2 linked regions of the Oryzias latipes genome follow. The protein of the gene in region 2 purifies or fractionates together with the protein of the main gene of each other region. This does not show direct contact. Links are inferred from orthologs where the notes say so. Each region holds a gene or a part of one and is shown on either strand. Other genes may lie near its edges. The genes, in order: kif22 and kpna3.

What was found.
Region 1: the proteins of kpna3 (region 2) and kif22 purify together in Homo sapiens (affinity purification with mass spectrometry; 3 studies listed by BioGRID and IntAct, counting the BioPlex papers as one, with this or other methods). This does not show direct contact. The link is inferred for Oryzias latipes from reciprocal best matches to the Homo sapiens genes KPNA3 and KIF22.

Annotation. Positions count from the first base shown.
Region 1 is NC_019877.2:7,646,967-7,649,991, forward strand, and holds the end of kif22 (kinesin-like protein KIF22), read right to left. Parts: intron 2,747-3,025; coding exon 2,658-2,746; intron 2,376-2,657; coding exon 2,175-2,375; intron 2,091-2,174; coding exon 2,031-2,090; intron 955-2,030; coding exon 925-954; 3' UTR 729-924; downstream 1-728. UniProt on the Homo sapiens protein: Kinesin family member that is involved in spindle formation and the movements of chromosomes during mitosis and meiosis. Binds to microtubules and to DNA. Plays a role in congression of laterally attached chromosomes in NDC80-depleted cells.
Region 2 is NC_019879.2:9,658,673-9,663,235, forward strand, and holds the start of kpna3 (importin subunit alpha-4), read left to right. Parts: upstream 1-1,630; 5' UTR 1,631-1,750; coding exon 1,751-1,819; intron 1,820-4,563. UniProt on the Homo sapiens protein: Functions in nuclear protein import as an adapter protein for nuclear receptor KPNB1. Binds specifically and directly to substrates containing either a simple or bipartite NLS motif.

The sequences.
Region 1 (3,025 bases), on a different chromosome or scaffold from region 2:
CATTTATCATGAAAAAAGGTGTGGGGCAGAAAGCGGGTCCCAATGACCCAGGGAATACAAAGGATGCGGCTTTTCTTCCATAGCGCAGGTGTGCGCATCGATGGATGCGCGTAATGTGTACACAGCCGCAAACTGCTGCGCGGTTACCGCCTAACAAAAGGCAGAGGACAAAAGGGATGTGTGGGGGGGGCAGTCGGACAAATGAGGCTGATGATTTATATCTCCCACCAGCATAAAGGAAGGACAGGAGAAAAACGTGCAGGTTGGTGAGGAAACACGGAGAATAAATGAAACTGACCTCTTATTGCGTTTGGATCGCTCCTCTTCTGAGCATCGTGGGTTCAGGCGCAGAAGTGTCCTTCACAGCCCGCGGAGTCTCCAGATGCTGTAGGGGAGTCGTTGCTGGGGGGCTACGCGCACAATGCAGGACTGCTGGTGTATCCTCGCTCCGGCATAGAGGGCTGGGATGGATGGGTAGCCTCCAGGGTGGATCCGGGAGGGGGAGGAGGGGGTGTGAAAAGTGAAATCCAGACTACGTGCGAAACGGGGAGGAGAGGAGGGCTCTCCACCATCCTTCACACAACCCTCAACGAAAGGCGCCGATTTGCCCCAAATATTTTCTTTGAATCCTATTTGGGGGGTGAATGGTGTGGGGAGGCTTCAGAGGACTAATGCTCCTTCCCCTCTGATGGGGACTAGATGAAGGTGTGAAATAAACAAGCAAACACTTCATTCACGTGAGGTTTATTAAAACGCACGAGTGTGCCACCCACAGGAAAAAGCTGGCATTACAAAAACATTAAAAGCTTTGAAAAAGAAAAAAAACTTAAATTACAAAAACAAAAGCTTTGGAAATAAAAACTATGTCCAACTGATGTAAAGAAAAAAATATATATATATACATGTACACATTATAAAAACAGATCATTTCCCCATGGCACTCAGGATGTTCGCCTGCAAAAGAGAACAAGGATAAATAATTCACAGGACTTTAAAAAGAATCATGCTGACAGTCAGAAATATTAGAATCAAAACCTGATGATACAGGTTTTTCCACTCAACTTCCCATTATTTAAACAAGCAGTTTAGTCCTTAAAGTCCCACTTCATCTATATTTATATTGCAAAAAAGTTCCCAGGGGTCTTAATTTTGATTAATCAGTAAAGCCTGTGTTGTTTTTTCTGCAGCAGGAACTCATTAGAAATTCACCTCTGGGTTGTGGGCCGGACTCTGTCAATTTCCCCATCAACCCTTTGTTTCCACCATCTCCCACTAGTTTATAGCATATTATAGGCCAAAAACAACAATAGTGTAGCAAAAATAAATAAATAAAAATAAAGGGGAAGCAATATCAGAGCTAACCAGAATCCAGCTCAGACGAGGAAAATGAAGATGTAGACTCTGCAATTTGTCTGCAGGTGGATGCTTCAGAGTTGCAGAAGTGCAGGTAGACTTCGGCCCATCCATGGCATCACAAACTGCGGGTTTTCATCTGCTCATGATCCAAGACCATTTAAATAAAATCTCAGAAATGCAGTTTTCTTTTACGCATGTCCACCATGATGACAAAAATGTTACAAGAACATGTCAAAAACATGTTCACAGATGCATATTAGCCAAAATGTAGTTGAAAAGGGAAAAAAGAAAAGAAAAGGTCATTTTTGCGCCAGGTCCTCAGGTCTGAGCTGGAATCTGTGCTGCTGGACAGCTCCAACCCTGCTTTCCGTTTTTGTTGCACTGCTAACGTTAAGTTTAGTGTGTGAGGTACAGGCTCGTACATGTAACCATAGCACTAACAGCAATGGGGAAGGGAAAGGGGTGCGGGGTTGCTTCACCTTCAAACCGTATAGGCAAATTTCTAATGAACCCCTGCTGCTCTGCAGACACTAAGTCCTTGAAAAGTAGCTATTTTTTATTATTATCTTTGGCTAAAAACAGGATAATAATGAAAAGACGACTGGGAATCCTAAAATAGATCAAAAGATGATCGGAGCACAAATGACCAGGACAAAATGTTTTTGGTCTCTCACCTTTAAAAAAGAGGCAAATCTCTTTTCTGTCATGCCTTCTACTTTTTCCAGATCTTCCAACTACAAAATAAAAACAAAAGTGAAAACAAATTGAAGCAGGAAGTTCTTTTTGTTTCTTAAATGACAGGGATTCTTTTAACAAACCTTTGTGAATTGGCCGTTAAGCTCTCTCCAGCCCAGAAGCAGCTTTGCCTTCTTGTCCCCAATCTGCTGCAGACTTTTGAGCTCTTTAACACCGCCGCTGTTCAAGATGTGCAGGATTTTCTGTTTTGACTGTTCCAGCATTTGCGTGTCTAGTTGGGACTCCCAGGAATTCTCCTTCATGTTCTCCTTACCGTCTGGGAGCTGAAAGAACAAAAACATAAAATAAAATAAATCTAACTCAACAGAATACACCTTCTACGTGATGATCCTGTTCCTACAACCGGTTTTTAAACCAACAACTCTTTCCCCTTACGTGTTCTGCAATGCGGTTAACACAAATGTGACATTTTGCAGCATTTGCTGCGTCAAAAACAAAATGAAAAACAAACACCACAAGTGAAACTAATGCTCTGTGTCAGCCTGTATCTGATGCTTGCAACTCTGCAGATGTGTCAAGCCACAAACTGCGCAGTCAAAGCTGACCTCAATCCTGCTGGAAAGCTCCCTCTTCTTGACACAGACGGACTGTTTCTTGAAGACAGCAAGGTGGACAGGAGGCTGCAGCTGAGACACTGAAGAGGAGGAGGAGGAGACATGCAAAATCTTTAATGTCACAAAAAGATGAAACCTTTTCACCTTTTTTTTTTAACAGCTGATTCTCTCTGGGCAAAAAGTTTGCATGTTAAATGTTGTAGTGGAGAACTGAAAGTGTGTTTTCATGAGTAAGAAAGTTATCCGAGTGGCTCTCAGTGATGCTGAGGGGTGTAAAAAGAATCCCTCCTCGTCGCCATTTGATCTCGCACTGCAGATCAATAAAACTGAGAATCGATGTGACAGAAGCAACTCATTAA
Region 2 (4,563 bases):
GCAAGGACCAGGACCCACCCCCCAGGGACACGAACACCCCCGGCTCAGGTGTAATATGAACCCCCCCACCGTGCGGAGAGAGCACCGCCGGGCCCAGGGAGCCGGCACCCAAGGGACACGGCCGCCATCGCCAAGGGGCCCGCACCCCCCACCAGGGAAGGGCTAGGGGACAGATGGACCCAGGTCCCACCTTCCTTGTAAAATGTGTGTGCGTGTATGGGTGTTTGAGAGGGTGTTTGTGTGCATGTGTGTGTGTTTATGTTTGAATGTATATATTGAAGGGGGAGGGGTGTGTGTACTAAGGGGGGTGCAGTTAAAATTGGCGAGTAGGGCACTAAGGGGACATCTCCTGATTACTCACAGTGATGTCCCCTCACCCTCCACACCAAGGGGCCCTAAATGTCTAAGGTGCGGTTAAAATTGGCGGGTAGGGTGCCAGGAGGACATCTGCTGCTTGCTTGCAGTGATGTCCAAGCACCCCCCCTACCAAGGACCCTACATGTCTAAGGTGCAAATAAAACCGAAAGAGGGGGGGCCCACTCCATACGGCAACCATAGGAGGGGGGCCACTCCCAAGTAGCCCCCCCCCAAGGCGCATCGCAGGCTAGACCCCCCACCCCCTCACCCTAATATGAGGTTATATAAGGAAGGGGGTAAGTTGGGGACAGCTGGTAGACTGTCCCCCGGTGGTCAAACAGCCGTCCCCCAGCCCACCCCCAGCAAAGGGGCCAGGGCCACCCAGCCCAGGGGCCCACCCCCGGAGGCGCCGACACCCCAGGCCCGGCACCACCCACCCCACACAGAGAGAGAGGAGCCAGAAAGCGTCGCCCCCCCCCGGAGCAAGCCCAGGCCCCCACCCCCAGACGCCGGCCCTAGAAGAGCTCTGGTCAGGCCTCGACGGGACCGAGGAGGCCAACCGGCCGAGGCAACCACTGATTGCCTCAGCGGAGACCCCGACCCGCTAGCCCCCCCGACCCGTACTAATAATGGGCCCCCCCTCCCCCCAGAACGCCCCCCCACAGGACAGGGCCGACAAGCCCCCCACCCCACCCCACCCCAGACCCCGCAGCCGAAGCGGGTGACACCCAGAGCGACCGGGGGCCCCGAGAGGGTTTCAAGCCAGAATCTGGCTTGAAACTGTACGGCTGGATAAAAACGGCATAATCAATATAAAAAGATCACTCTGAACGTTTTGCAAATAGCTTAAAAGATGATCGTACTGGGTCTTGTGCGGCTGCAGTTACGGTTTTGTTTTTATTCCCATTATACATCTGTCAACATCCTCTCCCACTAGCTTACAGTCCCTTAGATGCCCCACCTTACATTACCGGTGCAACAAAAATAGTGAGCAATACTGGAGCTATCCAGGTGTACAGTTTTGATCAAGATGTCAGCTCAGACGAGGAAAACAAAGACGTATATTGATCTATCTGTCTCAAGCTCAATTTTCTGTCCACCATCATCAGAAAAATGCTACAAGAACATGTTAGTCCAAAAGCAGGTTTTTATTCCAACTGTGCTGCATCCTGGGAGCCTTGGATACCAGGGACAGCCCATCGGGATGGGAGGGGTAAGTGGTGGGCGGTATGCTCTGACTCCTCCCACCCCTCCGCGATCTGCTACGATCACTCCTCCCCCTCCTCCTCTGTGGGGCCAACGGCAACAGCAGCAGCACAAGAAGAGCCGTGCCTAGTCTTTGACGGAGGAGATCCACTAAAACGGGAGTATATTAGCTAAAGCCCGCACAGCCATGGCAGAGAACGCCGGCTTGGAAAACCACCGCATCAAGAGCTTCAAAAATAAAGGGCGTGATGTCGAGGTGAGCTTAGACAAACCCGTGGTTTTTAAACACCACGAACGGAACCATTTTCAGGTATTAAAAGGGCCTCGTTTGCCCTGGCCCCTACTGAAACAGTTTGCTTACAAGTCAGCTAGCAAGCCATCAGGAAGAATTCGCTATGAAATCTGTCAATCTGTTCGATTGTGTGTAATAATATTTTGTATTCAAAGTGTTGTGATTGGGTATTGGTTAACACAATGTGTGTTACTTTAGTCCATGAGTAGCTGTGAACAGCAATCTCTCACAGAGTCAGTCTGATTAACGGTAGGCGACGAAGCTGTCACTACCGGCTAACTAGCTAGCTAGCTAGCTGGTTGGATGGATACCGGTCGCAGGCGGGGCTGGGCCTGGCCGGCTTCATCAGCGTTATATATACCGTATATTAGTGAACCACCAGTAGTCTGCGTCACTGTTACCTGCGGCACACACGGTCACCATACCTTGTGTAACAGTTGTAAATGTTGTAATCAATTTCCGGTCTAGGTCACATTTTTACCTCCTCCTGTCCTGGCTGATCGTTAGCTTGCTAACCTCATCAAGCTTGCATTAATTTCCAGGTGGTTCAGGTAAACCAGGCTACAAGGAAATAAACCCAGATCAACAATTACAATCCGTTTACTGTTTTCGTGTTATCTTTTAGTTTCAAATTGTACAAACAAATAAATTCTAAACGTAATAACTCTTCAATTATTAGTTTTTTTAATCTACCTAACAGTTTGGTTAACATAGTATTGACTGTTTGGAATTCCAGATTTCAGAATTGTACTTTCACACAAGTGTTTGATTCTGTCGGGTTTAGTGGTAGACAGTCTGTTGTTTTTGGGCCTCACAGGCTACTGTACCATCTAATCAAGTTTGTTGCTGCATCATTCTCATAACAAGTGAAATTAGGAGGACAAATCCTTCTGAATTCTTGTTTGCATTAGGCCTGCATGATGAGGCAACAGTCTGGATTAATTGATGTTAGGTTAGGTAAGAAAACAAAAGATTATTTCATTAAACGCATATTTTTGAAACTTTTTTTTCCACAAGATGTTTATCAAAGCGCTCTAGGCCAAAGGTTTTAATAACAATGACACACTTGTGCCTGGGTTATTGTGATCTATGTCTAATCCTGAGATAATCCCTAAACAAAAGTGTGTCTGAAAAATCCACCTCAGTGTTTGGAGTACCCCAACTGAACACACCAACACAGGTTGTTGTTTTGAAAGTTGGGTCAGGCTGACAAGCACATGGCTACCATGACACACAGACGGTGCCTGCTGCATTCCTGATGCTATTTCAGGAATCTCGGATGTCTGACCCTGGGCCTCTTAAAGCCCCAGCATGAACTGGACTTTTCAGTGGGTGACCCATACTGCATCAGGGAGAGACATGTCCATTTGAGCTTGTTTGCTTTTAAGTCAGCCATCCTGGATGTATTCTTTGTTCTTGTCACTAATACAGGAGAAGTAGAGAAAAGCTAAGAAGTATTGTATTTTATTGTATGTTTGCAGTGATTGGGAGGCTCCTCTCTTCTCCACTGCCCTCTTATTTATAACAGTTCCTGATTACGTGAGTGGCTATTTAAGAAGGAAACATGAACCTGTTTTTTAAGCATCACAAGATCTTAGGACATCTCCGTGTTTTGGATAAACAACAGGAAACCTGTTAATAGATCCGTGTGGTTCCCTGTTAGGTGCTTTCTGTGGGAATATGCGGCATCACTTTGGTATAACTGAAAATATGACCTTCAGGCTCCTGTCTGTATCCTAACAGACTAAACTGCAGGAGTGAATGTAAGTAAGATTCTGTTTTAAGTGAATACCATGGGATTTTTGTACGATGAGCGAAATTTAGGAAATGAGACAAAAAAGAAACAAAATTATGCAGAAAAGTGAGACCAACAGTGTCTGACGAACGGAAACATTGTGTAGGAAAAAAGGTGATGAGTGAATGAAGCCTCATGAAGCCTTACAGCACTCCAAACTTCAAGGCCTTGGTATGGAAAACTGTATGGAGTCACACACCAACCTTCCATAAAAAATTTACATGAAACAAGTTAAACAAACCGCATAGTGGTGTGTTTGTTGTGTATGAGAAATGTCTTATTTCTTTGTAGATTTATTTGTTAATTAATTGTACCGGCTCCATTTGTAGTCCTTCATGTGACTCCTAAATCATGTTCTGTCATGTTTGCTGTAAAGTCCTTCACTCCAGACATTATGCTTCCTATAAGAATATGATTTAAACATTTGCTTTATTTGATGCTGACCTCCCTGATTCTTTAAAAACACTGCTGCAGAGTACAGTCATGTCACATTTGCTTGTAGTACGACTCTAATTCACCCTGGTGATAATGATTTTGAAAAAGGAATGCATTGCTTTTTTAAATTGCAGTTTATGCTTGGCTAGTTTCCAGTATTTGCATAGCAGAGCACATAATCTAAGTGTTCGTGGTCAAAGGCAAAGACTGCAAAAAATACAAATTAATAAAATGCAGGCAGCTGCAGGTCAGCCATATGAATGTACACGTGTTGCTGATAGGAATTCGTTTAGCTGTAAACATCCATGCAAACATGGGGGTGGCAAATTTAATCAAGAAGACTGGCAATCGTTTGATTTATTAATATTACAGCTTTTTAAAAAAAAAAAAGTCTTGGTATTCTGCCAAACAGGTTTTTGGGTAACTTTTCATTTTTGTTAGAATTTTTAAGACAGTGCTCTGAACCTTCTTTCTTTTA